Nothobranchius furzeri: one gene and its partners. The protein of the gene in region 1 purifies or fractionates together with the protein of each later gene. This does not show direct contact. Links are inferred from orthologs where the notes say so. Each region holds a gene or a part of one and is shown on either strand. Other genes may lie near its edges.

The links.
Region 2: the proteins of slbp (region 1) and ctif purify together in Homo sapiens (affinity purification with western blotting; 3 studies listed by BioGRID). This does not show direct contact. The link is inferred for Nothobranchius furzeri from reciprocal best matches to the Homo sapiens genes SLBP and CTIF.
Region 3: the proteins of slbp (region 1) and upf1 purify together in Homo sapiens (affinity purification with western blotting; 4 studies listed by BioGRID and IntAct, with this or other methods). This does not show direct contact. The link is inferred for Nothobranchius furzeri from reciprocal best matches to the Homo sapiens genes SLBP and UPF1.
Region 4: the proteins of slbp (region 1) and mif4gdb purify together in Homo sapiens (affinity purification with western blotting; 3 studies listed by BioGRID and IntAct, with this or other methods). This does not show direct contact. The link is inferred for Nothobranchius furzeri from reciprocal best matches to the Homo sapiens genes SLBP and MIF4GD.

What each region holds. Positions count from the first base shown.
Region 1 is NC_091741.1:108,902,832-108,907,796, forward strand, and holds the start of slbp (histone RNA hairpin-binding protein), read left to right. Parts: upstream 1-2,028; 5' UTR 2,029-2,165; coding exon 2,166-2,224; intron 2,225-3,769; coding exon 3,770-3,874; intron 3,875-3,967; coding exon 3,968-4,081; intron 4,082-4,151; coding exon 4,152-4,223; intron 4,224-4,861; coding exon 4,862-4,965. UniProt on the Homo sapiens protein: RNA-binding protein involved in the histone pre-mRNA processing.
Region 2 is NC_091746.1:58,107,184-58,112,187, reverse strand, and holds the start of ctif (CBP80/20-dependent translation initiation factor), read right to left. Parts: upstream 3,251-5,004; 5' UTR 3,124-3,250; intron 1,875-3,123; 5' UTR 1,799-1,874; coding exon 1,796-1,798; intron 1-1,795. UniProt on the Homo sapiens protein: Specifically required for the pioneer round of mRNA translation mediated by the cap-binding complex (CBC), that takes place during or right after mRNA export via the nuclear pore complex (NPC).
Region 3 is NC_091748.1:65,883,014-65,887,691, reverse strand, and holds the start of upf1 (regulator of nonsense transcripts 1), read right to left. Parts: upstream 3,251-4,678; 5' UTR 3,025-3,250; coding exon 2,854-3,024; intron 2,515-2,853; coding exon 2,372-2,514; intron 1,383-2,371; coding exon 1,293-1,382; intron 1,210-1,292; coding exon 1,042-1,209; intron 1-1,041. UniProt on the Homo sapiens protein: RNA-dependent helicase required for nonsense-mediated decay (NMD) of aberrant mRNAs containing premature stop codons and modulates the expression level of normal mRNAs.
Region 4 is NC_091752.1:54,310,006-54,314,840, forward strand, and holds the start of mif4gdb (MIF4G domain-containing protein B), read right to left. Parts: upstream 3,251-4,835; 5' UTR 3,151-3,250; intron 3,061-3,150; exon of another isoform or gene 2,970-3,060; intron 2,962-2,969; exon of another isoform or gene 2,925-2,961; intron 2,441-2,924; 5' UTR 2,400-2,440; coding exon 2,321-2,399; intron 2,198-2,320; coding exon 2,088-2,197; intron 2,000-2,087; coding exon 1,844-1,999; intron 1-1,843. Other genes in the region: slc25a19 (mitochondrial thiamine pyrophosphate carrier), read left to right, coding at 3,752-3,883, 4,087-4,242, 4,339-4,509, 4,666-4,835. UniProt on the Homo sapiens protein: Functions in replication-dependent translation of histone mRNAs which differ from other eukaryotic mRNAs in that they do not end with a poly-A tail but a stem-loop. May participate in circularizing those mRNAs specifically enhancing their translation.

The sequences.
Region 1 (4,965 bases):
GAAGGTCCGGTCTGCGAGCCGCCTAAATGACTGGTTTAGTCTAATCATACCATTTTACTTTTTGTAACCACCATAATTCTCAAACTTGTGTAACGTAAAAGATCAATATTACACTTTATCATTAGTAACTTTAGGGAATTCAGTAATGAAACAACAATAACCAGTACTGCAGACCACTGATGAGCAGGGTTGTCTATCAGAGTGACTGCAGAAGTCAGGACTGTCCATCCTGACACAGTAAGAAGATACATTCATCCTCACATCCTGGTTGCTATGGAAACGTTAGAAAAGTGGGCTGAGTTGTGTTAAAATGATCAGAAAGGGGAAAGCAGAGCGAAGTCAGAACGAGACAAATAAAAGGATGTTTGACAGTAACGGATGTTTTTACAGAAGTAAAGACAGTTTTTACCTGAATTTAAAATAAATTGCTCTTGCATAAAAAAGAAATGGGTATTTTATAATAGGTCAAAAACCATTTTTATAACACTGGTGAGAAACTGCAGACTGTTGTGTGGGAGAGACGATAGAAAAACCTTTAAATCCATAATTCCGAGGGTTGGCAGAAAAAGTCTTTGTTTCAGGGAGCTTGGCTTCAGTGACTCACTTTCACACGTGAATGACCCGTTTCTATATTAGGGACTGACATGATTAGCAGTAATGATTTTTAAATAGAGGTTTAATGTGGAGTTTGCTCAGGGAACAAGGCCTTAGGGATCAAACCTGTTTTTAAACATCACCTTCCTTCTCTCACAAGCATCTGAATGGTTCTGTCCTTAGACAATTAAATATTCGAAACTTATAATTTAGCCTTAAAGTCATTCACCTAAATAAACTCGACCAGGTTCAGTCCAAATATGGAGACTCTGTGCTAGGGTTGGGGTTAGGGTCAGAACAGTTAAATTTCTGTTGGTTTTTGGTCCCTGATCCAGTCTGCAGCTTGATTGGAACCAACTTCAACCTTCCAAGATCTTATCTTCACAGGGAAGAGTTGATTGGAGAGCACTTCATCACTGCCTGATAGTCGTGTCTCTCCTGGGTAGGTCTGGATGAGGGTCTGGTGGCTTGGGTCCTGGGGATGATCGTACCTGGATGGGGGACCGGGCTGGGCGAGTGCATGTGGCAGTGTCTGGCCCTGGCCCGGGGCCCTTGGGACATGGTATCTCCTTAACTAGCAGGAACACTTCTACTCCATCGTGGGGGAGGGGATCTCTGAGAGGGGAAGGATCCAACTGTGCCTGGGTTTCTGATGTTTTATGTAGTCTGGAAGTTGATCAAAGGCGGGGGTGGAGCTGAGTTGGGACCTGGGGCTCCGTGGGGCTCTGTGATGCAGCTTTTGTGGGCCCTGGCTAGATGGGCTGGGGTCTCCTGGCCCCAGGTGGGCTTTGAGAATGGGGTGCCTTGTGGGGCCAGCGGAGGACAGGGCAGGGCTCAGGCTCCCCAGTCTTTCCTCCCCATCCTCAGACATTTCCCTCTGCCTGCTCCATCACATCACATCACCCCCCCCCCCACACACACACACACACACACAGGGCCTTGGGGTGTAAGTTCAGTGGGTGCAGGTATGTACTAAATTCATGACGAACACTGACTTCATTATGTTTCCCAGTTTTAAGAAGAAGGTATTTGTTTAAAGAATATGCTTACATTCATAAAAACTGTCAAAACGGAGTCCCTTTCTGTTCCACTCCACTTGTAATGACATTCACCCATGTCGTGATTTTTTGATTCACACATTTGACACAATTTCCAATTCCTGCGCGCACTGTCAGATCCACCCGATCATCTATTTTTACTGTAAATACTCATTGAGAAACTGTTATATAACATGTAAAAATGAAAACATCAAAAATGAAATTCTCATGTTAGGCATTTATTTCTTAGCATCGCTTCTATTCTTTTTATGAGCATTTTTACTCTTTTTATTCTGTTTTTGATCCAAGTTTTGGTCAAAAATAAAGAGCTGCACCACCAGCTCATTCCAGAAGGTGGCGGTAGGGTTCGGGAAGAAGAACCGGGAAAAGAAGAAGGAGGAGGAGTCACGTGACTGGCTGGCTTGTTTGTGGTCGCGCTTTCTGTCTCAGTTGGCGGTTTTCTGTCGCTACCGTCAACATTCACGGATTTAGGTGAGCCAACAGAGTCGCGTTTGGTTCATTTACCCCTAAAAGATGTCTCACAAGAACAAGATGAAGCGGAGCGAAGCTCGTGTGGGAGAAGAGGAGTGCAGGTAAGTGCGTTTAGCTTTCCCTGCTGCCGTCGATATGTGTTCCCCCCTCGATCAGTTTCTTTTGCACCCAGCTGCAAGTGGAAACGACGCAATAACAAGAAATAACACTAACCATAACCACTCTGGCACCAAAAATGTATGGTTTGCGTAAATATAATTTTTGAAAATATTACGTGTAGCACAATTTTTATGTTGGTTTCAGGGTTAGGGTAGCTTAGGACACATTTTTTGCGAGTGGATGGTTCTCACTCGCCGCTGGGTGCAAAAGAAACATCTCGAGGAGGAACACATCGACGCAACACCTGGTTTCACTGGTCAGACGACTAACGTTTTGCTGACAGAGGCTGTTTGGTTGTCAGTGTTACCTTTGAGCTGTCTCCTCTCGCTTTCTGTGGGTTCTCACTCTCTTTTGTTCCATGTTGAAAGCCGTTTCCCCCCTCAGCTAATCGGGGTGGATTTGAATTATTTCTCCTTCTGGAGTGGTCACATTAAGTCTCTGAAGAATAAAAATCTCGGGACGTGTACTTAATAAAGTCCAGAGTCCGCTGCATGGGGACATATTTGAACGGGGGTTACATCTGTACGTGTCACCGTTTCTGGCTCGGTTCTGATCAGCCCGGTTAGACCAGGAGAGACGGTCATCTACCCTTATGTTCTTCCCGGGCTCGTCCCACCGGGAACCGAGTGGAAGATGTTTAAACCTTGTCGGGTCGGACTTTAGTGGCTCACCCAAAATTCCGCGCCACCGCGCGCCAACACACAATGGATCGACCGGAAGTAGGAAGTAAATGGCGGGAGATTATTTTAAACTGTGCTGCAGTCCCGCTCCGATCAGCTTTATGTTTATTCCTCATTAGATCAATTCTCTGATCGTTTCTGGCTGGGCAAGGGTCGTACCAACCCGAACCAGGACCGGTTGGTCCAGGGATTAGAGCTACCAGCCTTTGGGTCAGAACCATCGACATGTAGGGTCAGAACACACCAGCTGCTTGTAAGTACTCATCACAGTGGGCACCATTTGTCTTTGTTAGACCCCATCCAGAGACAGTGTCTTGTTTGAGACAGCTGTCCACTTTAGGGACAGGGTGCTCACCCTGTAACCGCAGAGTTGCAGGTTTGCGCCCTGCTCAATCTGCCGCTGTGCCCTTGGGCAGGACACTTGCAGCTCCACCTCTGGCAGTTAGCCCTGGTCTCTTGACATTTGCAGTAGCTTACAGAATGAGCCGTTTCAGGCCTCTCTTGGGCCACTCTTTTACAGGTAAGAGCAAAATATCATTTAGTCTGGAGCTCTGTGGCTGCACAGACGTTACGACTATAAGAAATCGCATTTCGGTCCCCAGGTCTATAAGCATTTTGATTTTTATGAATGGAAACGCTCAACGCTGTGAGCTCTGGATACAAGGGCTCTGCAGCAGGCCCACAGGAAGTGGAGCAGAAACCTGCGACTGATCAACAGCACCTCTCTTTAAAGAACATCTTACATCAGATGTCCCCTTAAACGCTACTGACTAGTAATATTCTAGCCTTCTTTTATATTTGTACCAGGAGCAGCGGCCCATCCCGGTGGTCCCACAGTAGGAAAAGAGGAGTTGATGGAAGTTTGCGGAATAACAGTGATGAAGATGGTGATGACTGGTGCAGACATGCCAGGTATGATCATGGCGCAGGTCCTCCTGACACAGCTCTTGTGAAATCTCTGATTGGTGCCACTGGTTTAATGGTGTGTGTGTGTGTCTTCTGTAGTTTCACCACCCCAGAGAGCTCTGGACCAGTGTCGAGATGTAGTCGGCCGACTGACTGGGGCAGCCAGGTGGAGGATGAGGAGATGAGGAGAGACATGCACAAAGACATGCAGCGGTAAGACGAGCTTTCTGCTGAACACCAGCTGGTTTCTGTTAACTCCGAGCTGACGTTCTCGACTCTTCAGTTACAGGAGGAGGATACTGGGTCCAGAGGTCACTCAGAGGGAGAGGAGAGCCTCGTCTGGCTCCTCTGGGAGGTAACCACCATGCTTCTGTTTAACAGCAGTCCAGGTGGTCTCTAGTCAGGGTATCCGCAGGTCCTTAAAAAGTCTTAAATTTGCTTTTCCAAATTTACGGCCTTGAAAATCCTTAAAAATGACAAATAATCCTTAAATCCAGTTTCCAAAGGTCTTAAATCACCAAAGACCCAATAAACAAGATTATTTTATTTCTATAAAAATTTTCATGAATTTATAGTTAGTGTTCAGCATTTTTTGTGTACGATGTTGGCATAAGCGGAACCGTACACATTCAGTTGGTTGGGAAAGGGGGCAATTTTTAGATGAGCACATTAGCTGGTTAAGCTAGTGGGAGCTTGCGCCATGGGGAAGTGCAAGTTTAATGGTAAATGGATGGCTAATCCCACGTTCACGACGTGGTTAGCACCGGTTCCAGGCAATAGCTGGAAATTATAGCTTAAATTTAATTTTAAAAATAGCTTAAATTTGGTCAAAGTGGCCTGAAAAAAGGTCTTAAAAAGTCTTAAATTGGCTCCCTTAAACCTGCACATACCCTGCTAGTAGCCATAAGCTCATGAAGTCTCACCTGTTCGTAGAAGGTTCTTCCAGCCAACGAGAGGAGGCGAGTAAAGGTGTGTGTTCTGTTTGTTGTGCAGCTGTGACTCCAGAGAGGGTGAGAACATGGAGACTGATGAATCCGTTCTGCTGCGACGACAGAAACAGATCAGCTACGGCAAGAACACGCTGGCCTACGACAGAT
Region 2 (5,004 bases), on another chromosome or scaffold:
CTAAAGTTTGGGTCCACTTCACTAAATGCGATGGGTGACTGGGTGATGATGACAATATTTTTTTCCATTTCCATTTTTTATTTCATTTCATGCAATCAAACAAAATTTACATTAAAACAATCCGCGTTCACAAATAATCATAAATGAAAAGGAGCAGAAAGAAGCAAAAACTTACAATATCTGCCCCCTTTACACATCAGACATTAGCTGTTCAACTCGAAGACTGTCATTCACCTACCCCCCACCACAAGTCTATCAGCCTACTTAAGATCTTATTATTTCATCAAGATACGTTTGACACTTTTTTTAAATACAGGAAATGTTTTAGATTGTTTTATTTCACTGTTGAGACTATTCCATAAACCGACACTTTAAACTGAAATACATATTTCCATTATCACTGTTCGGAATCTTGTTTTTTTTTTTAAACTATAATTTACTTTAAAAATATAATTACTTTATCGTTTTACAAATCTCTTTTGAATATTTATTGATAGGACTTCTTTATGTGCTTTGTACATAAGTTTCAATAAATGATATTCTACTAATTTGTCAAATTCCATTAGGTCTAGCTGTGAAAACATCGGATCCGTATGATCCCTACATCCACTTCCACTAATAACTCTCACTGCTCTATTGTGTAAATACAATACAATATGTCAGATATGGAAGAATTAACGAGTTACACAGAATATACAAAGCTTTTTTGTTCAACAATTCCTTCGTCTTATTTAGTACTGCAAAATTTCGAGATATTTTAATTTGAATAGCATTTATGTAAGACTTCCAGGACAAATGTTCGTCAATCATAACACCTAAAAACTTTCCTTCTCTTACTCTTTCTATCTCAATTCCTTCAACATATAATGATGCATCAGCACTGTTTTTGCTACTATAAAAAAACTATTGACTTAGTTTTATCAATGTTTACAGAAAGCCTATTGATATTAAACCATTTTTTGATTTTTGTAAACTCATTTTCAACTACATCTAACATAACGTTTGAATTTTCTACTGAATAAAATAATGTAGTGTCATCTGCAAATAGTATAAACCTGAATAATTTAGAAACCATAGCAATATCGTTAACGTACAAAAGAAAAAGTAATGGTCCTAGATGACATTGACAATGATCTAAGTGAGGAATCATTGTCTTAATCTGCTCCAATGGGTAAATAAACAGTTTACATTAACGTTAGCTTGATATTTTAGCATCCATTAATGAAAAATGAACAGTTTGAAAAAGAAAGATAAAATGAAGACACACAGTAAATTTAGTTAGTACTACAAGGACCCACCCATCACACAATTTGTCCATTGAGGAAAGAAGAGGAATGAGAGTACACGGAGCTGGGTTTTAGTTTGTGAAACATCACAATATTAAAATACAAACAGTTGTATGGTATAAAAGTTTGTTTTAATTTCATTTGTAGTCTATAATACCTGGTCTCCTCATCATAGTTATTCCAGATGGCATAAAAGAGGAGTAGGAGTACATGGAGCTGGGTATAATGTTTAGATCATTTAGAAACAGTTGTAGTTAAAGGTTTTCATTTTGAAAAATTTTGTACAACACTATGATGACAAAATACAAAAAGTTGCATGTTATATTTATCATGATAAAATATATCAAAAATAGTTATAAATTAAGGGAAAATATATATTAAAATAAAAAAGAGTTTTATTTAATTATTAAACACTCAAAAGTATCAGACATTGGTACCGGTATCGATTCCTAGGTATCGGGCATTGGTACCGTATTGATTCAAAAGTCAAATGAACCTATCCTACCCACCATGCCTTGACAGTTACAGGCCACTCGTAGCGTAATGGTGTGGGGGGTGATTTTCTTGACTCAGTTCAAACTCACCAAACTGGAAACAAATTAAAACAAGAGTTGTTTGGATAGAACATTTGCTTTTACTGTGTTGTAAATCATGAGTATGTACCTTATTTTCTAACTTACTCTTCTGGCTGAACCTGATTTACCAACTGAAAGACTTTTAGATTAAATTTAGCCTCAAGCTGAAGTTCCATTTTCACTTCATATTGAATAAAACTTACACACCAGACAGATTTTTAAAAGCATAACAGTTTTTGCTTTCAGAAGAATTTTATTTGTTCTGTTTAAACAAGTTAAGTACTGTTTGTGGAACAAATCTCATTCTAATGAGACAGCATGCAAACATTCCTTTAAATTAATAAAGTCCGTCTGATGTATCTTTTGTGCGTTCATTCTGTGTTTCTTCTAACCGCATTTAACAAAAAAGAAGGTAAAACAACCCTTCTCTGTGTTAAAAAAAGAACCAAGTCTGATGTAATGAGTCTCTGAACAGCAGAAATTCCAGGAATGTTGTGGATAAACTGAGCTTGAGTGGAATCTAAAGAACTAACTGACCAATACATATCCAACCAGATGATCTGCTCCACCTCTTATTTTGAATATCTGTCATGGATGCCTCCATGTCCTACAGTAGCAGCTGCGATCTCTTTGTTGTGAGAGTCAACAGCTGAGCGGAGGCAGTCTGCCGATCCGTAGCTAGCTCCGCTCCTTTACAGGACAGCTAACGAAGAAGACATAATTCCTGTTAAGTTGGTACAACCAAACGTGAGTGAAACTGAAATAGCACATCTCTCTGACGTGTGAGTGATCTTTACGTTAACCACAGGTTTGTTTAGAACGTTTAACCACACCCATTTGCTATGGGTTGTAGCCGAGCGCTGCTGCTTCCTGACAGGACGCCCGTGATCAAAACCACAACACAATAGTTGTCCCTTTAATTATACTAAAACCACATCTGGAGACACCTCCACGCACTGATGTGTCTGCTCGAGTATCACCGGTAACACAACGGTGACGCAAGCTCTGCGGCTAACCATCCGGCTAGCTTACGCTAGCCATTAAGTACAACAACAATTAACCACAGGCCATACATTTTGGACTCAAACCCCACTGAGTCAACAATGAAACACCAACAGGTGCACCACAACAGACAAAAGGGCAACAAACTCATCCACAAAAGCAGCGTGCGGTGAATGCAGCCCTTATAAAACAGTTGCAGCGGTTGGAAAACACCAGAAGAAATACCTCTTTAACCGACGTAAAATGGGATAAATCCTTACCCAAAGCGAGATTCTGACTTCCAGAGAAGCTGGGGTCACCCCCTGAGATCAAATCCGCCGTGTCATGGGTGCGTTTGTCAAAAACAAGCGGGGAAAGAGGATTAGCTGTGTGCTGGTAACTCCAACATCTCTCACGCAGTGAAAGGGGAATGCAGGAATGTGACGTTCAGTCCCGGTCTGCTGGCAGCGGTGACACGTGCAGCAAGACGCACGGCACTCTGGGAAATGTCGTCAAGCCAGACCTCCTTCGATTTTTACATGACTACAAGAGATCTACGGTGTCTTCGGTCGAGAGTGACTTTCAAAATAAAAGCGCACTTATAGGACATGTGTCTGGTCTGAACGTGCTGATGGACACTTTCTAAGTTTGTGTAAAATTGTGTCTTAAGATAAAACTGCGTTTTAAATGATTTTATCTATTAAAAAACACAAGACAGAAAACAATGAAAACATTTTTTTATTTGTGTGCAAGCTAAAACTGCGTTTAAAATTATTTTATCTATTAAAAAAACACTTTTAAGACTGAAAACGATTAAAAACTTTTCTTTTGTAAAATTGTGTGCAAGATAAAACTGCGTTTGAAATGATTTTATTTATTTTAAAAACTTTAAATTAAAAGAATAAACAGGAGTTAATCGTTTTTTTTTTTTGTAAAAATGAGTGCAATATAACACAGCGTTTTAAATGATATGATCTATTAAAAAGACCTTTAATTAAAAGAATGAACACGATTTAACCCTTTTTTGTGTAAAATTGTGTGCAACATAAACTGCATTTTTTATGATTTTAGTTATTTAAAAATACTTTAAATTAAAAGAACACATTTGTGTAGGTTACTTTGCTATTCTTATACATCCCGTCCCATTCATCCTGATCTGATGTGGCATTTCTAAATAGTTTCACTATATTCAATGGTTTCTTTCTCAAAGTCTGTCTGATTCCACAACATCATTCCACTTCAGTATTACAGAACACATCAAGTACTAGATAGATATAAAAACTATTTTGACTATATTCATTGGTTAATTTCTTTAAAAAAATGTTCGATTCTGCAATATTATTTCACCTCAGTCTTAAAGTACACATCAGGTACTACATCCTCCCTAAGGTTCATGAAGATCTTATGTGGCATTTTAAAATAAAGTGCAATCAGATTTGACCATAAAAGCAATTTAGACTAAATTCAATGGTAAATTTCTCAAAAACTGTCTGATTCCGCAACATCATTCGACCACACTCTTAAAGTATACAACAAGTACTAAATCTTCTCCGAATTTCAAAAAGATATGATGTGGCATTTCAAAATAAAGTGCAGTTAAATTTTGCCAAAACAAATAAACAATTTCAACAATTCAATGGTTAGTTTGTCAAAAACTGTCTGTTTCTGCAACATCATTCCACCTCAGTCATAAAGTACACTTCGAGTACTACATCCTCCCCAAAGTTAAAAAAGATCTGATGTGGCATTTCAAAATAAAGTGCAATCAAATTTGGCTATAAAAACAATTTTGATTATATTCAATGGTGAATTTTTTTTAAATGTCTGATTCCACAACATCATTCCACCTCAGTCTTAACGTACACATCAAGTACTACATCCTCCCCAAAGATCATGAAGATCTGATGTGGCATTTTAAAATAAAGTGTCACATTAGACCAAAAATATTTCCCTTCAGTCTGATGTCGATGGTCTGACCTGACACCCCTTCTGTGAACGTAGGACCTCTTGTGGACAAAAGTGGAACTGCAGAACGTATGCGATTCTCTTCTACCTTCTTTTATGACCAAGCAACATTTCCAAATACAGAATGGATATTATATTAGCATCATTATAAAAAGGTAAAAGCTATTTGATGACAATCAAGTTTAGACCAACAGATT
Region 3 (4,678 bases), on another chromosome or scaffold:
TCCAATACAAATGCATGTTAATGAAATGCATAATATTTTACTGGATATATTTGTGTTTTTATAATAAGATGAGTGTTATTAACACAAACCTAAAATGTTACTGAAATGTAGATCAAATATTTAAAAATATTTTTAACTATAAATATCAGACGGGGAAAAGGGAACTAAACACCAATCTAATGCATATTATTGAGCCTTTCATAATAAAAGTCTGTTATTTCAGCCTGATAATTTTGTTGTTTTATTTCATATTTTTTAGCAGCAAACCAGTTTTGTTTCACTTGAAACATTGTCAAATGGAATATTCAATTAATCAATAGAAGCTTAGATAAGAACACTTAATGAAAAAATATTTTGCCTTTAAAAAAGTGAGGCAGTTGAATGCACAGAGTATGCATGTGCTGGCACATGGTCAGGATGGTACCAGCTCTGCCTCAATTTGAGCCAGGAAAAGCCCTGTTTCTTCTTATATTTTTCCAAGTTAGTTGTTCAACCTTCTGACGGTCACTCTCATACAGACGAGTTTTGGTGAATGCAGTTATGTCTGTTGCTCTGAGTGTCTTTTTATTTCTGCAGGGAGTAATGAAAACTCAGCTCACTTTGCCCAGAGTTTGTTCTTTCAAATTTGCTGGATTGATGCATTTTAACGAGCTACTACCCCCGCAGGTTTACATCCTTCTCACAGATGGACTAAAAGTTCAGTAGAAATGTTTGTGTACACTTTTGCTACTGCATGCATGCACAGTGTGAAGGAAGGGGGGAGAAACACATAATGCCGCACACAAGGTCTCTGTCGGCTACAAAGTATGAGCAACAGGTGATTGTTTGGTATGATTGGCTCTGAGAGGCATTGATCGGAATTTGCAGATCACATGTTTTTCATGGAGATTGAAACAATTTGATCAGTTACCAATCAATCAGACCATTCCTAATAAATATACTCTCAAATGTTTAGTACAGTACAACTTTAGCAGGAAAAACTTTGACTTTTTTGCTATACAACAACCAGCTAGGATTGACAAACACCTTCCATCCACTTACCTGCAGAGTAGCACCACCACGGAGTCAGCTTTGGCTGGGATAAAGCCCAAGAGGAAAACATTGCGGCAGCCACAATTGTAACACTCCAGCACGGTTTCACCCAGAGGTCCATCTTTATGCAGCGTAACCTCTTTGCATTTGGCCCTCACCATGTGGTTCACAATGTGGCTGGAAGTCATAAATGTACAATGAAACAACGGGTAACCATAATCAAAAAAGTTTAAAAAAATTATAACTGCCAAATTATAAACCTTCCAGATGTGTTGCCACGGCCATTACAGAACCACTTCTTGCTGGTGTTACAGTACACAACACAGGCTGGGTCATGGATACCACAATAGCTGCAAAATCAAATGGCATTTCAAATATTTCAGTGATTAGAACATATAACGCATCAGAAGTTGGAAAATAGAAAATATAGAATAATTTAATAGATTCACTAGTAAACTTAACTTTCCTTGCTCTTTTCTTAGAAACATGAGTAATCACACGTTGAAACCAGAAAGGTTTTAGATATATTTATAAAAATGTCTGTATAATTTAAAAAAAGTCAGCAACAGTTAAGCATCTTTTTTTAACACAAGCATGTTTCCATTTTACACACTCCATACTGTACATTAATGCCACAGTTTTGCACATACCAACCACTGTATATTTTATATCTCTTATCTTATTGTTTACTTTGTTCATTTGTAAAACATGTATATACACATTATACACACACTCACACACGTAGAAAAAAAGATACTAGCACACACATTTAGTAATGTATATACCTTACATACTATACATATTATTACTTAGATTAGCCATTTTTATATTTTGCTTGTTTTTACGTTATGGTATTTTTGTACAACTCTGTTGCTGTGAAGCTCGCACACGAGAATTTCACTCTCATGAACTGTACAAGTGTACCTGCACATGTGACGTGACAATAAAAGTGATTTGATTTTCCGTTTTTATGTTAGTGTTTTATAACACAAATTAACTTAAAGGAAATGTATTGCTGATCGATTACAAGCAAAACAGGAGTCTGAAAATAACTTTAAATATGATCTGACACCTAATAAAATGGCTGTGAATTTTGTTGTTGTTTATTTTTTAACTCTTTACATGCACTGATCATAGATTTATAATAGTATTTGAAATTGTTTTGTTGTTTTTCAGTGTTTAACCAAACGCTTAATCCTGTAAAAAAACAGACAAAAATTATTTTAACAGCACCGTAAACAAAGTTAAAGGTTACTACAGAAGAAATAAAAACACACTTAGGAAAATGCTGCACTTGAGATGCACGTGTGGCTTTCTGTGATGCATTCTGTCACAGTACCTGCATGCGTGTACAGGAAGGTCTTTGGTGTAATAAGTGTCTTCTTCATCCTCTTCAAAGTTCAGCTCTCCCAACAACTGGCTGGTTTTGGCCACAGAGTCATCAACCCCTCCGTTATGAAGACCTTCATCTGGACCATTCACCTGCAGCGCAAAAACAGTCTTAACCAAAACACACTCGATGCTAACGAACAGCAGCTAACGGCTAAGGCACACAGTGCGGAAAAGCCAGTTAGCGACATGTTGACAGAATGCTACTGTTTACAAATCCCGTTTTTGTGAATCGCAGAGTCTGGTTTGAATGTAGGGTTCGAAAGAAATGTGTTGAGATTACTAGTGGCTTTAACTGTTTATTTAACGATGTCCTAAAACCAGCTAACACGAAGCTAAGTCGGGCTAAATTTAATAAAAGCGGGCTAACTGGAAGCTAACTGCTGCTAACACCATTACCGTGCATACTGGAAAGATTGAAAAGCGTCTAACCTGGCTGTCCAGCTGGCTCTGCGTTTGGCCTTGAGTTTGGGTCTGGCTAGGAAGCGTGAAGTCGGTGAAGTCATACTCGGAGCCCTGTGTGTCGGCTCCGATGAGCTCGGCTTCCTCGGTGTCCAGGAAGGTGAGGGTCTGGGAGCTCGGCCCGTACGCCTCCACACTCATCTTCGACTCTTTTCTTTCGTTTTACTCAACGATTTCCGATGCTGTACAAAGACGACCAAGATCCACAGAATTTATTTTGTCGATGTATATTCTTGAGCGCGTCGCAGAGACAACAAATGTCAACTCAAACAAAAAAATGGAACCGATCAAAAGCTACTGCAGGTCCAACAGCCAGCAGCGGTGACGGACTTCCCTGCGCCGCGCGACGCGTGACGCCACTGGGAGGGGCTGGACGGCACAGATGGGTCAAAAGGAAAGAGGGCTCACTCTGTTTTTCTTTTTACTGATTTCAAATCAATATACATTTCTCAATTAATTCTTCAATATTTGGGACACAAAATGATTTTAGTGTTAGTTTTAGGTTTTCAGAGAGCTTTGAAACTATACACAACTACTACAAAACCTTAAAATATGCCCTAATCTCAAACTGAGATAAATTTGATTCAGTTCAGTCCAGGGGCACTTAGGTAGATGTTGATAGTATTCATCAGTTCTGTTCAACTAGAGACTTAAGTTTTACCACTAATTTGTAACTTTACAATGAGCCTTTTTAGGAAGTCATCACCATCATCAGAAGTAGAAAAGAGAGAACTGACATGAGAATCCAGGGTGAGAGCTGGGTCAAAGGTCACACCATGATTCCTGACAGAGGGTTTGGTGTGAGAAGCAAGCTGACCAAGAGAGTCTCTGACTTTGGGAACCAGCTTGTCTGGAGCACAGATGAGGATCTCAGTCTTATCTACATTCAGCTTTAGAAAGTTTCCAGCCATCCAGGTTTTGATAGTGTAAGCAGGTGTGTAACAGCTTAGACATCTCATGGGGCTTAAAGGAGATGTACAGTTGGATGTCATCTGTGTAAAGATGGTAGGAGATTTCATTAAAGGAGCTCAGGATGTGCTGAAGAGGAAGCAGAAAGAGAATGAACAGTAGAGGCCCCAGCACAGAACCTTGTGGGATGCCATCGATGAGGGAGGTGTTGGACCAAAACTTGCAGATGACCACAGAGAAAGAACGCTCAGACAGATGAGAGTAGAACCACTACACTCAGTTCCTGACAGGCCTATGCAGTCTCTCAGCCTCTCCAGTAGCAAGCAGGTGATGGTCAACAGTGTCAAAGGCTGCAGTCAGGTCCAGCAGGACCAGAGCAGAACAGTCCCCAGCATCACTGTGAATCAGAAGGTCATTGGAGACCCTAAGAAGAGCTTTTTCAGTGGAATGAGTTCTACGAAAACCTGACTGGAAACTATCATAGATGTTATGTTCAAGATCAGCTGTTAGTTGTTTAGCCACAACCTTTTCCAAGATCTTGGAGATGAACAGAAGTTTAGAGATGGGTCTGAAGCTGCTATGGAGAGAAAAATAATACATTTTATTCGTTAGCGCCTTTCAGGACTCTCAAGGTCACTTTAACAGCTATTGCATAATACTTGTTAAAACACTCCTCGTTAAGTTAAAAATGCAAATAACCAATTAAACAAACAAGTAAAAATGAAAAACAGCAAAGTACTAAAAGGGTCAAGACTTGTTTTTTAAGAAGCGGGTGGATTACAGCATTCTTAAAATAAGCAGGGACCTGACCAGCAATAAAACTCAATCATGATCATTCACCATTCTCAACGCTTGCACGGGGAACATTTAAAAATGTGTTTTTTGT
Region 4 (4,835 bases), on another chromosome or scaffold:
ATTACACCCCCTTTAAATAAATATCTTCTTTACTCACCACTTAGAAGAGCTGCAGTCGGCGCCTCCCGGAATTGAAACTCCTCATTACTGCTTCCTTCCATTCAGTGACAAATCTTTTAGTTAAGTTTCTTTCATAGGCCAGCTGCACTAAATGTGCATTTCGTTGGTGTAGCATGCTAAGTCTGTTGTCTGTGAGAACACTTTTTAAAGTAGAAAAGTTTGGGAGAGCGGGTTTGGGAGAGCCCACTGCAGCTGGGATTAGCGCTAAAATCTTCATGCTCCGGCTCCACTGGGGGAAGCTGTGCCTCAGTCTTGCTACGGCTAGTTAGCTTCGGCTGCTCACCTAACTTCTTCTCTGCTGCGGCAATATGACACTCCTGCTAAGCTGTCGCTCGTGCAGTTTCAGTTTTACCTTGTAGTTGGTGGTGATTGGAAGAATTTCCTTATATCCATCGTTTGTGTCGTTAAATTCGTTTACCGTGATATTCGTTTACCGTGATATCCGTTTCCTAGCGTAAACAGACGTCGGTGCGTTACTTGCGGCACCACGCACGCATGCATCACATGACACAAGCCGAGACGTCTCTTAAAATATTTATTTTGTATTTTGAATTTTATTGGTTTCCCTTAGCTGAATATGAATTCATACAATCTGTGACTCCTCCCCAAAAAAAATTAACTGAAAAAAATAATTAAATTATAATAACATTACCGCTCTGATAGCCAATGGGGGGGCATGGAGGTACGGGTGGGGGGGGGGGGGGGCAATGCCCCTCAAATTGACCCCCTGACGCCGGGGCTGCTTCCCCATTTTGCTTCCACCATCTTCTCCTTGAATTGGCGAAATACGTCACATACACGGTGGCCAAAGTCACGTGGAACGGAAATGCACGAAAACGGCTGGCAGAGACCTAAAAATTGGTTTATTTTATTACCTTGTCACGTTTATTTTTAATATACAGACTTATTTTAAATACACATCAATACTCACCGAATTTAAGACTTCACTTAATGAATTTAAGACTTTTTAAGGGTCTTAATTTGCCTAAATTAAATTCAAGACTTTTCAAGACTTTCCAAGACCCGCGGATACCCTGAACAAGAACATCAGATTCCCTTTCATCCCTGGCAACAAGTGAAGAGGTAAATGTGTAAAACAACAAAGTTTATTAATGCTGAAAGTTTAGTAACCATTTGTTACAAATCAGTAAATACACTCTGTCCTCACGGGCTTCCGTAGAAGGAAACATGGCATCCAATATGGCGTCGCCTAGAGATTTAGACCCACTCCCGTGTATTTTAGACCTGATTTTTATGGTTAAATGCTATGAAACTGTCAATATTTTTCAACAACTTGGTATCTTTTAATTAATTTACAACATTTCAATGGGTATTTCCAGAGATTAATGGTAAAAATTACACATTGTCACTTTAATGTCTGTCATTGAGATCCACCTTGATGTCAGACAAATATTGCCATCATGTGGTTTAAGTCTGACACAGGTCAAAATCTGTACTAAATGCTCTGGTTTGATTGACCTATGTGCGCAGTAATGTGTTATAGCCAGTTATGAATCTGGAAGTGAAACTGAAACAATACAGTGTCTTATTAGGCCTTCTGCTGGCTGGGAGTTTCGTTCAAAGTTCTAACTTACAGCAAGAAATCCAGGTCTCAAATTAATACAACCTTCTTCTTGGTTACTACAGCAATAAACAATATATTAAAGGCTTTACTTACGAAGAAAAGTACTTTTGCAGAAATGATCCAGAGTAATTTAACAATTCATATATTTAAAATATCTTCATATCATGGACAAAACTTCAATTTGTCTCTGTCTCTTACCTTGAGGTAGTCAAAGATGTTACAGATGAAGGTGACGTAGCACACCCACTCCTGCAGAGAGCGTGTTCTTGTTTCTTCACGTACTTTAAACTCTTGCTGTAGTCGGTTCAACAGGAGCCTCCTAAACACATTTCCGCTGCTTTGTTTGGCCTCAGCCTGGGCAAACAGGGAGAATCAGGACTAAACAGGAGGGTGGTGAGCAGGCAGAGGACTCAGAACAAAAGCACCACAACCACTGACTGACCTGCACAATAGTGTAACAAATACGTCCGGCCTCTTTGCTGAACACACAATCCTTTAGAGACTGCTCTACGATGACATTTGAGACCTTCTCCAGGTTCACCGAACTTGGATCTGAGGGCAAGAAAATGGCTTTTGTAATATATACGTTCATTTTTAACAACATTTAAATGAAGGAACTGAAAACGAATTATACAGTTTGAATAATTTACACAAAAGTTTAAAGAAAATTCTGACCTTTCAAGGCAGTTTTCAGTAATGTCTGCGTTTCCAAGTCAAAAGACTGGATTTTGTAGTCATCGGTGGAGTTTTCCATGTCAGATGGTGAAGAACAAGTTACACCTGGGAGATGTCACGCTGTGAAGGAAAGATCATCCATGTTCACTGTGCTTTTCAGAAGAACAACATGTAGCAAGTCTTTTATCAGACACGACGAGTCTTTTAAACAGAACTGAAACCGCGGAGTCATCAGACTGGCTGCTCCCTACAGCTCTTTGACTGCGGGATTGAGGGGATTTGGGCTAGCTCAGGTCAACAAACACCACCTATCACTCAAAAGTGTGCTTTCATTATGCCATGATAAAATTAAACTTGCTAGCCACATACAAGTCACGCATTCGGACCGAAACAATGCAATGCTATGCATGGGCGCTGTTTATTACTGGGTTTATAACGAAAAACAGGCGGATGCCAAATCAAAACAACATTTAACTTATTAACACTGTGCTAGCTCGTGTGGTTCGCGAGCTGCTTCCGTTAGGGAATACCTCCCGCCAAAACAATAAAAGCGATTAAATGTAAAAAAAATAAATAAATAAAATCAAACAGGTAGAAAACACACATCAGTTAATAAGCATGGAATGCAAGAATATGTGAGAAACTTTACCTATTCAAAATCATACCACTAGTCAAGCTACTTCCGTCTGAACCATTCAAAGAATAAATGTAAACACAAAGATAAGTTAACCTGCATTTCCTGTTACCACATAAAACACAACCGGGACTAATGAAACTATCCTAACAGATTTTCACGGTATCACCAATATTTGAGTGGTTTAAAATATCACCTGTAAATTCTGTAAAAAGAATAGTGTGTACGAATGAGGGTTAGAGATAGGTAATGGTGACAGGGCGGTGGTAGACCGGTTGTAGGTTTGTTGCATAGACTGTACATACTGGACAATTCGATTCCGGTTTGTTGTAAGGCAGTGACTCATCTTTCCCAATATTTAATCTTTGACAGACGGAGCATGCGCTGAGTGAACCGGCGGAAGTGGTTAGTACGTTGCGTTCAGGGTTACGCTGAGATCTGAAGCTGATGGATTTATCGTAGAGAAATTTGTTGAAGACAGAAATAGAAATGGAAGTTATATTCATGAAGACAGCTCTTTAGTAAAAGGTAAACATCTGTCAGCGTGTTGTTGTCGCTACAACAACGAAGGAACAGATGTTGTGTTGTTAGCTTAGCTTAGCACAATTCTTCTCCCTACTTGTCCGCAGACATGGTGCAAACTTTGATTAAAGCGTTGTGTTAAATGAATACATTGAGAGATATTGTTTGCAGATAACTGTGACATTTTAAAAACCACAGGATATTTAAAAAATAAAATTAGTCAAAAATGGAACTTTTGTTTGTGTCTTCAGTGTTGATAGGAGTGTTGTGGTGAGATGGTGGGTTATGATCCCAGGGCGCAGAATGCAGCTCCTACCCATTGGGAGGCAGCTATCGCTGGTTCAGCTGCTGGGCTGGCCACCAGAGCCATTATCAGTCCTTTTGATGTCATCAAAATAAGATTCCAGGTATTAATCTGTGTGAATTTTTTGTGTTGGATGAGCTGGATCCAACTATTAACAGATTATGCTCACTTTGAAAATTAGACTTATAATAAGAATGGTTAAGGTATGTAAGTCCAACAAAACGATGCATAAGGAATCATTTAATAACAGTGTGGATGGAAATCTACAAAGTTAGTTGCATAAGTCGAGTGTGTTTCCTCCCACAGCTGCAGATCGAGCGTGTGTCGTCACGTAGACCTGAGGGAAAGTACTGTGGAATCCTTCAGGCCTCACGCAGCGTTTACACAGAAGAAGGGCTTTCTGCTTTCTGGAAAGGCCACGTTCCAGCCCAGCTCCTCTCCATCTGCTACGGTGCTGTCCAGGTACAGCTTGTGGAATGAAAATCTGCATGTTGAGACAGTCAAATAAGCCCTCCTAATGGCTCATCCCTGAAATAACTGTTTTTTTGTGATTTGCAGTTTGTTAGTTTTGAGTTTCTGACTGAAGTTGTTCACAAATCGACAATCTACGACAGCCAGACACCAGGAGTTCACTTTGTCTGTGGCGGTTTGGCAGCCTGCTCGGCCGCGGTGGCCTGCCAGCCTCTGGACACGCTGAGGACACGCTTCGCTGCTCAGGGAGAACCCAAGGTGGGACAGCCATATTTTACTGTCTTCATTTAAACCATCCACCAACTTAATTCCAAAGTTTTATGTGATAACACAACCAAAAGAAAAATAAACATCCACACATAATTTAAATTAAATGATTTATTTGTAGAGGAATTTAAAATTTGTTTTATTTAGGTTTACAGGAACCTCCGTCATGCTGTTTCCACGATTTGGCGCTCCGAGGGAATTGTTACGCTTTACCGAGGCCTCTCTCCAACACTGGTGGCAGCGTTTCCTTACGCTGGACTGCAGTTCTTTTCCTATAACGTGTTTAAAAAGATGTTGGCTCCTTCATCTAAAGCTGG